Macaca fascicularis: one gene and its partners. The protein of the gene in region 1 binds, or shares a complex with, the protein of each later gene. Links are inferred from orthologs where the notes say so. Each region holds a gene or a part of one and is shown in the gene's direction. Other genes may lie near its edges.

Evidence for each region.
Region 2: the proteins of STX17 (region 1) and VAMP8 are in contact, whole or in part, in a crystal structure (PDB 7BV6), measured with the Homo sapiens proteins. The link is inferred for Macaca fascicularis from reciprocal best matches to the Homo sapiens genes STX17 and VAMP8. Residues at the interface, in NP_060389.2 of Homo sapiens: Ser171, Trp172, Thr174, Leu175, Asp178, Leu179, Glu181, Leu182, Leu185, Val186, Phe189, Leu192, Val193, Gln196, Glu198, Lys199, Ile200, Ser202, Ile203, His206, Val207, Ser209, Ala210, Asn213, Val214, Glu216, Gly217, Thr218, Asn220, Leu221; in NP_003752.2 of Homo sapiens: Gly9, Val13, Leu16, Gln17, Val20, Glu21, Val23, Lys24, Met27, Thr28, Asn30, Val31, Ile34, Leu35, Arg37, Gly38, Leu41, Glu42, Leu44, Arg45, Thr48, Glu49, Leu51, Glu52, Ser55, Glu56, Phe58, Lys59, Ser62, Gln63.
Region 3: the proteins of STX17 (region 1) and SNAP29 are in contact, whole or in part, in a crystal structure (PDB 4WY4), measured with the Homo sapiens proteins. The link is inferred for Macaca fascicularis from reciprocal best matches to the Homo sapiens genes STX17 and SNAP29. Residues at the interface, in NP_060389.2 of Homo sapiens: Glu170, Trp172, Glu173, Leu175, Glu176, Leu179, Ile180, Ser183, Val186, Thr187, Phe189, Ser190, Val193, Asn194, Gln196, Gln197, Ile200, Ile203, Ala204, Val207, Asn208, Ala210, Ala211, Val214, Glu215, Thr218, Leu221, Gly222, Ala224, Ala225; in NP_004773.1 of Homo sapiens: Arg52, Thr56, Ser59, Thr60, Arg62, Ser63, Leu66, Glu69, Ser70, Val73, Gly74, Ser77, Glu80, Leu81, Gln84, Val87, Leu88, Thr91, Met94, Val95, Lys97, Met98, Asp101, Leu102, Ile104, Ser105, His108, Ile109, Ser111, Ile112.

Annotation. Positions count from the first base shown.
Region 1 is NC_088389.1:58,150,223-58,153,867, reverse strand, and holds part of STX17 (syntaxin-17), read left to right. Parts: intron 1-2,390; coding exon 2,391-2,477; intron 2,478-3,181; coding exon 3,182-3,421; 3' UTR 3,422-3,645. UniProt on the Homo sapiens protein: SNAREs, soluble N-ethylmaleimide-sensitive factor-attachment protein receptors, are essential proteins for fusion of cellular membranes.
Region 2 is NC_088387.1:36,008,883-36,012,957, reverse strand, and holds the start of VAMP8 (vesicle-associated membrane protein 8), read left to right. Parts: upstream 1-1,187; 5' UTR 1,188-1,283; coding exon 1,284-1,286; intron 1,287-2,647; coding exon 2,648-2,806; intron 2,807-4,075. UniProt on the Homo sapiens protein: SNAREs, soluble N-ethylmaleimide-sensitive factor-attachment protein receptors, are essential proteins for fusion of cellular membranes.
Region 3 is NC_088384.1:31,848,146-31,851,790, forward strand, and holds part of SNAP29 (synaptosomal-associated protein 29), read left to right. Parts: intron 1-159; coding exon 160-245; intron 246-2,863; coding exon 2,864-2,962; intron 2,963-3,645. UniProt on the Homo sapiens protein: SNAREs, soluble N-ethylmaleimide-sensitive factor-attachment protein receptors, are essential proteins for fusion of cellular membranes.

The DNA of each region.
Region 1 (3,645 bases):
TAAATTGTATTAAAGTTTTGCTTTAATTTTAAAAAGTCATAGAAATACAATATCCAACCGTTTTTAAAGGAAGGAACATTAAAAAGTATTTCCCTGAGGCTTTACGATTACACTTGGGGTATAGAAATGGCAATAATCCTGGCAGGCTCCTCCCTCTTGCTGGAATTATTTTGGGGCTGAAGGAAGGGAGACACATTGACTATTTTTCTTCTACCTATCAACTCATCAACATATGACGGCTGATGATAGAGTTTTAAGCCTGTGATTTATCTGCTAGCATAGACTGTTTCAGGCAAGAGTGGAAAGTGTTGGGGGTGTCCTAAATAGAAACAATGATAGGGTGTCAGAAATCTAGACAAGTTGTATATTATTAGTGCTGGAACTTTTTCTTCTATGGGTCAGAAAAAGAAAGCTGACTTAAATAAGTTTTGCTATTGAGGAAAACAAAAATTGAATGAATGAATGCTAAAAGATACCTAATGTTTTAGTGTCCTAGAATTGTCAAGATTCAAAAGAAAAAGTTAAATATATTTTTTTGATAGAAAGATGAGAGTTAACACTTCCTTGGGGAAGGATGAATTTTTCTATTTTTCCCCCTCACACTTTGCAAACACATTTTATCCCCACTTCAACTCTATGAAGGTGTAAGTATCATCATTCTCACATGATAAATGAGAATACTGACACCTAGAGAGCTTGAGTAATTTGTCTAAGAGCACATAGTGGCATTTGCTGAGATATGAACACAGATTACCTGACTAAAGGTGATGCCCTTGATCTGAGCACATATAATAGTGGTTCTTAAAGTGTGAGAATTGTGGACTGGCAGCATCAGCATCACCTGGGAGCTTACTATCTCAGGCTTCATCTCAGGCCTACTGGATCAGAAACACCAGGGATGGGGCCCAGCAATTTGTGTTTTAAGAAGCCTCCAGGTGGAAGACTGAGAACCATTGTTAAACTTGTCTCTAACAGAGACATTCAAAGGAAAACTGATAAGGGACTTTCTTAGGGATTGTGTTAGAGATGTCAGGATAGTGGTGGAGAATATTGGAATGAAGGGATACCACAATGGCGAAGACAGACATATTTTGTGTATGAGAAGGGAAGGAATATCAATAATGCTAAGAGGAAACAAACATGGGAAAAAATAGCTGTGTGGTTTGGGCTTCATGTTTTCAAATGAAATAATGGTTGGAATTAGAAAAGTGTTATTTGTATCTGCCTCAATATAAATGAATAGGCCAATTATATAAGGGCAATCAAACTCTTCAGGATTAAAGTTAATTATTTCACCCTCATTGTAGGTGGCATCTATCTAGGATCAAAGAGAGATTCTCTTTTTTCTGCACATTAAAAAAAAACAAAACCAAAATAGTCTGTAAACTGCGATAGTTGATTATATGTTGGCTTATACATTTGTTGTTTATACATTTGTGATTGTTGGTTTATACATTTACTAAATCTCATACTATACCATTAAAAGCAGTACTTGTTATATGTAAATTCTATCTAAGTAAAGTTGAATTAAAAATGGGAATGTGTTCCTACAGCAAGTAATGAGTTCGTGGCACTGGAGGTTTCTGAGCAGTGGTTCAGTAACCACTTGTCAGGAATGTTTTAGTAGGGCTTCGCACATCAGAGAGGAGACTGACCTGATGACCTCAACATTCCTTCTACCCAGAGATTCCATGAGTCATAGTTGCTGTTGTGCCAGCACAGGTGTTGCCATTTTATGTAGAATGCTTTATTAATATATTTGATCTGAAACATTTTAAACTGTCATGATTTTACAATGTGTTAAGATATACAGGTATAAAGCGCAGAACAGTGAATTCATTCACTGTTCCCTACTGCATATTACAAATGGAAAGATCTCATAGTAGATCAAACCATATTGTAGTCTTGTTCCGGAAACATCACAATTTGTATTTATTGGACCAAGGGCATTTTACTACTAAGGTAAATGTGCCTGATTTAAACTGAATCCTCAAAGAAGATAAGTTAGGGAGGTGTTTTGGGGTTTGATTTTTTTTTTTCCATCAAACCCAACATGACATGTAAATGATTATTTGGATTTTTTTTTTTTTTTCTGGAAAGTAGATTCATTTGGAGAATAATATGTTTGTATGTTTGAGTGAATTTTAGTGTGAGATGGTTTTTGCTGTAAGGTTGCCACCCTTTTATTACCTAATAATTAAGACCCCCCCCTTTTTTTATGAAAGTTAATTGGTCCTTTTGACATTGCTTATCAGATGCTATTAATGAACCACTATTAAGACGGCAAGGCTGCAGTACCCGGGGCCCTGATTACAGGAATTAAAATAGTGTGTGTTGACTCCCTGCTGCTCCCCAGCAGGACCGCTCACTCATAATTCCTTTGCATCTAGTCTCAGCAGGAGAAGATTGACAGCATTGCAGACCATGTCAACAGTGCCGCTGTGAATGTTGAAGAGGGAACCAAAAACTTGGGGAAGGTAAGATTCTGCTCCTGCTGACAAATCAATGGTACTCTGGCTCCCAGGAATCTCTAGTATTAACCCAATTGATCTGCTCTCTTCAATGTTGAGGGAACCAGCAATTAAGGAAATAAGGAAGAAATGACACATAGGTAGTGCAAGAAATCAATGTTGTAATATTCTACTCTAAGATTCATTCTATCAGGAGAGGAATTTCTTCAAAGAGAGAATAAACTGTAGCCCTGCTATAAGGTATTTGGTGTTACCAGGAAATATTTGCAGAGGGTGAAAGTGTAAGTATGTGACAGCACACGTGGAGTGGGACCATCTATTTTCCATAGGATGTTGCTTTTAACCCCAGGCACACAGCACAGAATAATCTCTGTGCAACATAAAAGCTTTGGGGGAAATCTGTGGCTGCCGAAACAGTTTAAATAAGCCAGCTAGATAGTTAGTGAATTGATTGTTTTGCAAGTAAAATCAATTTGTAGCAGTCCACTCTTTGTAGCTCAGCTCTCTAAGTTCTGAGATCTGGAGCAATTGCTGTACCTGTGGAATACTTTCTTTTCCCCCCTACAAGTACAGTCTCGAAGGTTAATTATGTACCAAGAGTTAAAGAGGCATTGCCAGGAGTAATGATAGGAAAACGCACATCACCACAGGCAGATATTCTCAACTCAATTTCTAAATTGAATTTTTTTTTTTTTTTTTTTTTTATACAGGCTGCAAAATACAAGCTGGCAGCTCTGCCTGTGGCAGGTGCACTGATCGGAGGAATGGTAGGGGGTCCTATTGGCCTCCTTGCAGGCTTCAAAGTGGCAGGAATTGCAGCTGCACTTGGTGGTGGGGTGTTGGGCTTCACAGGTGGAAAACTGATACAAAGAAAGAAACAGAAAATGATGGAGAAGCTCACTTCCAGCTGTCCAGATCTTCCCAGCCAAACTGACAAGAAATGCAGTTAAAAACCAAACTTCAGGATTATTGGTGCCAACATGTGTATCCTAATGAGGATCTTTGCTGCTGTTGGACCCTCCATCACCTTTTGGAACACAAGTATATCAAGATAGTGGCTACTGATGTTCAAGTGGGATTGAAGTGTGATAAGTGGATATATTTTGTTGTTTGCTGGGGTGTTCATGGAGATGTTAGAGATTGAGGCCCTGGGCTGAGGGTGTATAATGTATGT
Region 2 (4,075 bases), on another chromosome or scaffold:
GAAAAGTCCTTTGCCTTGGGCCCCTGCTCTGGTACACCAGGGCAGTCTTCTGATCACTGATCACTGACTGGGATCAATTACCTCTCTGGTGGTCCCTGAAGGGAAATGCAGAATTGCTGAACTCTGGAAGGGAAGGAGGGGTTTGGTGAGCCATCATTACAGACACTGTGCTAGTGGCAGTGCACTGCACACGCTATCTTTTTTTTTTTTTTGAGACAGAGTCTTGCTCTTATTGCCCAGGCTGGAGTGCAATGGCATAGTCTTAGCTCACTGCAATCTCTGTCTCCCAGGTTCAAGCGATTCTCCCGCCTCAGCCTCCTGAGTAGCTGGGATTACAGGCACCTGCCACCATGCCTGGCTAATTATTTTGTATTTTTAGTAGAGACGGGGTTTTGCCATGTTGGCCAGGCTGGTCTCGAACTCCTGACCTCAAGTGATCTGCCTGCCTTGGCCTCCCAAAGTACTGGGATTACAGGCGTGAGCTACCATGCCCAGCCTCTTTTTGCTTCTTACCAGCACTGTCTGAGCTAAGCATCAGCACCTGCAAACTCCACAGAGGTGAAAAGGTTCACTCAGGGGCCTGTAACTAGTAACCCAGAGCTTTCTGAATCAGAGCCCAGGATCACAGTATTCCAGACTTCAGGGGTTTTAGTGCTTTCTGTCACTGAGGGACCTGAGAACAAGTGTTATCCAGCAAGAAATTTTCATAACTGCATTTTATTTCCCTGTGAGCCAGGCCTGGCATGGTTGATCTCTGTCTCTAGAAACTGGAGTCAGATATTCAAGACATTAAAAGGAGATGGCTGGTGGGGCGTCATGGCTCCTAGGACTTTGGGAGGTTGAGGTGGGAGGATTGTCTGAGCCCAGGAGTTTGAGACCAGCCTGGGCAACATGGTGAGACCTCATCTCTATTAAAAAAAAAAAAAAAAAGAAAGAGAGAGAGAGATGGCTGCCCTTTCTAGATCAGGAGGTCCAGCCTCAGGAAACCTTGGAGGGCTGCTTGATCTTTCTTTTCTAATTCCTGAAAAGTTAGAAGACCTTTAACATCTGAGAGCCCTATTACTCTAAGCTTAAGCTCTTGTTTGGGAAGCCACTGGGTGGACAGTGAAGAGTGCCCGCCTACCTGGGGAAACCTGAGTTAGGTGTGGCTGGAGCGACTCGAGATGCGAGGTGGGCGGGGGCAGGCTGAAAGCTGGAGCAAGCAGGAAGTGAGCTGACGGCCACCCTGGGAGGAAGCCGACTAGGCTAATTCACCTGCTGATCGGCCCGGGCTGCTCTGAGACATGGTGAGCGAACTGGAAACTAGGAAAGGGCTGATTTAAAGAGGAGCCAGAAGGGGCTCGGGACTGGGGGTTGGCTGTGGGGGGGGAGGAGAGTTGGCGGCAAAGTTAGAGGGCTGGGCCAGTGCTGCCTGTGGCCTCTCCTCTTTGACAACTTGGCTGCAAATAGCTCTGAACCGTCCTAGCAGGTGTTTCTATTCCTTCTTCCTCCCTCCCCTGACCTCTGTGCTGGTGGGGAGCTGGGCTTCCGTGCCAGTGCCAATGGGGGCTCCGAATTCCAGGCAAAGTGTTGTTGTGCCTTCCTCCTCCAGGGAGCCCGAGGCGGGTGTTGTGACACCACCAGGCAGTGCTTGGGCAGTTTCCAGTTCAGATTCCAGCCCAGCGGCAGGAGCTCTCCTCTCTGGCCTTTCACTTTATCCCTACACAGAAACACAAAGGATTTGTGTGTCCACTGAGTCCTTTGGGTGTCCTTTCTCCATTAACATGAAGAAGAGAACTAAGGGTTTATAAGATAACCAGAAGTTGGTTCTCTGTGATAAGCTAGTTCTGACCCATGCCACTGGCCTGTTTTTGGAGGTCAAGGAGGGAGGAGCTTAATAATGTTTTTCTCTCCTTGTTCAAAAACCTTGTCATGAAGTCTCTGAGATGAGACATCAGCCAGGGAGGACTAGTCCTCCATTTCCCCCAACACCCAGGCGGGTATTTTTATTTAATGTCTGCATAAGCAGGTGGTTGCTTGGTGCCTGTGCGTGGTGCCCAGTGGTAGGGAAAGCAGAAGTGTGTGGCTCAACGGCTGTGGGCGCCTTCTGGGGTACTTGGTTGCCTGTTGTTCTGGGTCACAGCAGCAATGGCATTGCGGCCAGGGCCATGCTCCAGCAGCTATTTAGAGGGGCAGATGGGTCAGGCTGGGTGAGGGTGTTTTGCTGGCCAGCACAGACACTTTCAATGAGGATCCCGAGAAATCAGGAAAGAGGGGTGGCTCCGGGAATTGTAAATAGTGGTGGGCTCTGCCCTGGAAAGGGAACATTGTGAGATGCCGGCTCTGCTGTATTCTATGGCCTTCTCTAGGGAGCAAGGAAGCAGTGGGGAGGGATTTAGTGATGCGCTGCTTTTCCTTGTCAGGGGTCCTAACAATCCTGAAAGAAGTTTGATCTAGTCTCTTTAGCATCACGTCTTACCTTCTGGGGCTTACAAATGCATTTATTTTTGATTACACAAGTAATACATGAAAACATTCTCTTTGTAAACATTTCAAGCATTTTACAAAAAGCTGAAGTCTGCCTGAGGCCTTACCCTCCCCAGGCCTCTGAGGCCAAGTCTCCAGTTCCCCCACCACTTGGTCTAATTAACCCCGTGTTGCTGTGCAGGAGGAAGCCAGTGAAGGTGGAGGAAATGATCGCGTGCGGAACCTGCAGAGTGAGGTGGAGGGAGTTAAGAATATTATGACCCAGAATGTGGAGCGGATCCTGGCCCGAGGGGAAAACTTGGAACATCTCCGCAACAAGACAGAGGATCTGGAAGCCACAGTGAGACAGGGAGCCCACTGGAGGCTGGAGGAAAAGAGGAAGGGAGGGAATTTCTTTTTGGTGGGGCAAAATGAACAGGAGGGTCAGAAGTGTAACATTTCTGTTGCCTTTCACCTGGTTTGGGAGCTGATGTGAGCTGAGTCTCCACTTCTGAATCTGCTCTGCTCCACAGATTGTTATGGATCCCAGGGAATGGATCCCATGACTGGGGCTTGAGGTGGCAGCTCACCCATAGAGGCATATTCTGAGACCGATAGCTCAGTCAGCCCATGCATTCTCAGGCTTCTCTCCCGGGAAACTTGTTTTCCCTTTGAAGCCTGCCCATGACAATCATTTGGATCTGACCTTCCCAGGGCAGAAGTATTGGCTTTGAGGAAACCCCCCCACCGTGGCCTCTAGCCTTCTCTAGGAGCTATTAGACAAGGGGTGGGAAATTGCTGGTATCTTGCTGAGTTGGCTTTAAAAAGAAGGAGGAAAGAGCAGAGAAATGCTTTGATCCCAGGGTCCCCTGCTAGATGAAGGCTAAAATAATATCTCCCACACATCTTGCTAGACCTCATTCTTCTCTCTCTCCAGCCAGGGGCTGCGGCCAGCTGTTTCAGGGAGGAAGTAACTCCAAAGTTGAGCAAAGTCTGGAGCCTCAGGTTTTGTGTCCAGCTGGGAAGCTGGCTCTGGCTTTCTTAGTCCTGTGTGAACTCTTGGCTCTTGGGTATTGCTCCCTTGTCTCCCTGGGGCTCATTGCCTGTTTCTGTAGCTTAATTGTAGCTTAATTTGGGGAGCACGGCCCCAGGATTTTTTTTTTTTTTTTTTTAATAGAGCCTCACTCTGTTGCCCAGGCTAGAGTGGTGCAATCTCGGCTCACTTCAACCTTCGCCTCCTGGGTTCAAATGATTCTCTTGCCTCAGCCTCCTGAGTAGCTGGGATTACAGTGTGCACCACCACACCTGGCTAATTTTTGTATTTTCAGTAGAGACGAAGTTTTGCCATGTTGGCTAGGCTGGTCTCGAACTCCTGACCTCAGGTGATCCACCCACCTTGGCCTCTCAAAGTGCTGGGATTACAGACTTGAGTCACCATGCCTGGACAAGCACTAGGAAATTTAGTGTCTATAACTCGAATTGCTGGGCATGGGGAAGAGTGCATGGAGGAGGAGGAGTTCCCTTACTTCCAACCCTCTGTACTGTCCTGGTCCCTCCTCCAGCCTCAGCAGTCCCGATGGGGCAAGGAGTCCTGTAGCTGGGAGATGTGCCCTCCTGGAGCCTGCATCCC
Region 3 (3,645 bases), on another chromosome or scaffold:
GGAGAAGCTGTTGAAATCCCTACTTTGGTCAGAAGGAGTTTGGTACAGAAGAAGCATTTGATTTTTGGCATACAGGCATTATGTGAAAATACTGATAACATTGTCATAGGGATTTTTCCTTTTTTAATACTGTCCTTTTTTGTAAACTTTTATCCAAAGATTGAAAGAAGCCATAAGTACAAGTAAAGAACAGGAAGCAAAGTACCAGGCCAGCCACCCAAACCTTAGAAAGCTGGATGATACAGGTAAGTGGATACCTGTGTGCACAGCCCGAATTCTAGCAGGGAGACCTCTGGGTTTGGCATTGGTCCTTAGGGGGCAGTAGCAATCTCTCGGGGGAAGTGGGCAGGGGCCCCAGCTGCCAGCATCACCCATGCTAGCCAAAGGGCCTTAGGGACCCGGCATGCTCTTGGGGAACTAGGGGTGTGCCTTATGGTAGGGCTCCTCCCTCCTCCCTGCCTCCATGGAGAGGAGAATAAGGAAGTGAAGGCCTGCGTTCCATTGAAAATGAGCCTGCCTAGCCTGGTGCAATAACACACGCCTGTAATCCCAGCACTTTGGGAGGCCAAGCCAGGTGAATCACCTGAGGTCAGGAGTTTGCGACCAGCCTGACTAACATGGTGAAACCCCGTCTCTGCTAAACACAAAAAAATTAGCCAAGTGTGGTAGCATATGCCTCTAATCCAAGCTACCTGGGAGGCTGAGACAGGAGAATGACTTGCACCTGGGAGACAGAGGTTGCAGTGAGCTGAGATCATGCCACTGCACTATAGCCTGGGCAACAAGAGTGAAACTCTGTCTCAAAAAAGACAATAAGCCTGCCCATCATCGGTTCCTGCCTATGTCACTCTCAGTTGTTCCAGCAGTAAAAAGGCAACTACAGAAAAACCCCTTGGTAAATAGCTGTCCACGTCCTAATCCCCAGACCCCGTGAGTCTGTTAGGTTATATGGCAAAGGCGGAATTACAGTTGCAGATGGAGTTACAATTGCTAATCAGCAAGATGGGGAGATTATCTTGGGTTGTCCAGTTGGGTCCAGTGTCATCACAAAGGTCCCTTTTAAGTGGAAAGAGAAGCAGAAGAGAGAGTGGCAGAGTCAGAGATCTGAAGATGTTGCTGGCCTTGAAGATGGAGAAAGGGACTCACCTGCCAAGGCACACAAGTGAACTCTAAAAACTGCAAAAGGTGAGGAATTAGATTCTTCCCAAGAGCTCCAGAAGGAGTGCAACCCTGAGGACACCCCGACTCAGCCCAGTGAGACCCACGTTGGACTTCTGACCTCCAGAACCGTAAGACAAGTTTGTGGTCATTTGTCACAGCATCAATGAGGGGCTAATACAGCCTCCAGCCCAAGCAGGAGGAGCAGCAGCCACATGGACAAGGTGTGCAAGACAGTGAGTGTTGGTCAAATCATTCCACTTCTATCAAGTGATAGGCCCAGAAATATCCCTTATCTGGAAAGGAATTTAGGGCTTCTGGGGCCTCCGTCATAGGCCCCCCAACAGCCAGGGTACATTGAAATTGGTGCTAGAAACCAAAGGCTTAAAACTGTGCTGCCTTCAAGAAAACGATACACCATGGAAGCTCTGGAACCCACCATGGTTGTGGTCGATGCAGCTGGGGAGATCAGATGGAGGAAGAGCGGGAAGCAGGAGAGACTGACACCATCAGCACAGTTCAGTCTGGAAAGGCAAGTGGAGGAAGTGAGTGTAAATTGAAAGGCAAGGGTGGGGAAAATCGGCCTCATCACACCCTGGAGAAGTGGCACAAGACACTGCACCCAAGACACAATTTTAAGGAATTAAGGAGTTTCCATTTGTGTCGTATATATTAAAAGACTGATGGCCGGGCGCGGTGGCTCAAGCCTGTAATCCTAGCACTTTGGGAGGCCGAGATGGGCGGATCACGAGGTCAGGAGATTGAGACCATCCTGGCTAACACGGTGAAACCCCGTCTCTACTAAGAAATACAAAAAATAGCCGGGCGAGGTGGCAGCGCCTGTAGTCCCAGCTACTCGGGAGGCTGAGGCCGGAGAATGGCGTGAACCCGGGAGGCGGAGCTTGCAGTGAGCTGAGATCCGGCCACTGCACTCCAGCCTGGGCTACAGAGCGAGACTCCGTCTCAAAAAAAAAAAAAAAAAAAAAAAGACTGAAAAAAAAAATCGGCACAGTTTGCAGTATGGTTTCAGTTGGTTGGTGCTGGAGGAAATATGCTAAGTCTAGAAAGTGATGTTTCCCTAAAGGAGATAAACTGGGATGACAGGGCTTTTCTGTGTGCATTTAGAAACTGAAGTTCATTCAAGCCAAGAAAGATAACTTTAAAAAAGAAGAAACTAGGGTTCAAGGAAGATTTCTTACGGCAAATGTGCATTATTTAACATTTCTTTTTTTTTTTTTTTTTTTTTTGGCTTATTTGTTTCAAGTGAAAATATAGCGTAGAGATAAATTTCGGAAAGAAACAAAATTACCCATAATTCCATTTATGTAACGTAACAATGTGTATTTTTAGACTTTGTCCACAGACTGTGTAGTTTTGCATTATTGCAGTTCCACTGTGTATTGTCACTTGTGTGACTCGTGTCTTTCCTGAGCTTGTGCACCAGGGTCTGAGTAGGTGACCCTTAGTTTGAGGGTCTTTCATCTCCCAAGGACTGAGGGAAAGTGGGAACCATCCCCTACCCTGTGGAAGCATCTCTCCTGGCCCATGAGCCTGCACTGTGCTCCTCCCTCATCCCTCTGGATAGCCTCAGAACCAACCTTTCATTCCTTCCACCCATTTTCCAGATGAAATTGTTTTGGGTGTGTGAAGCAGCATTTGAACAATGTCAATTAACCACTCTCCTGGTGTCTCCTTCTAAACTTAGACCCTGTCCCCAGAGGGGCTGGTTCTGCTGTGAGTACCGATGCTTACCCAAAGAACCCACACCTTCGAGCCTATCACCAGAAGATCGACAGCAACCTAGGTAAGACTGAGCGCCACACCAGCTTCTGTAAGCCACTGTTCCTTCAGGCAGCTCACGCCAAGCATAGCCCCTACGTGAGGACCCTCCAGCTTCAGCTCCCTCCCCACACATCGCATCCCACACTAAGCTGGGTCCATCTTGCCACCTCACTGTCTCTGGAATCTCTCCATTTCTCACCATTTCCTACTTCCAGCCCAACCGAGCCCTCCCCACCTCTCACTTTCATGAACAGCACCAGGGACCCAGGAGTCCCTGAGAGGCGATAAAGTGGAGCCTGGACATGACCGCTTACTCCATCCTTCCCTTCCCACCTGGCCACTCAGAGCCCTGTTTTCCTCCTTGTGAAACGGGCTGCCTCTGAGAACAGTGGGAAGGTTACCTGAGCCAGAAAGTGCCTGGGATGTAATTAGCGCTCGTGTTGCAATTGGCATTTTGGCCACACAGCCTCCAGCATGATGTTTCAAAACAGAAGGGTGTGCAGGGGGACAGGCGCAGTGGATCACGCCTGTAATCCCAGCACTGTGGGAGGCCAAGGCAGGTGGATCACCTGAGGTCAGGAGTTCAAGACCAGCCTGACCAACATGGTGAAACCCTGTCTCTACTAAAAATACAAAAATTAGCCGAGCGTGGTGGCTGGCGCCTGTAGTCCCAGCTACTCGGGAGGCTGAGGCAGGAGAATCACT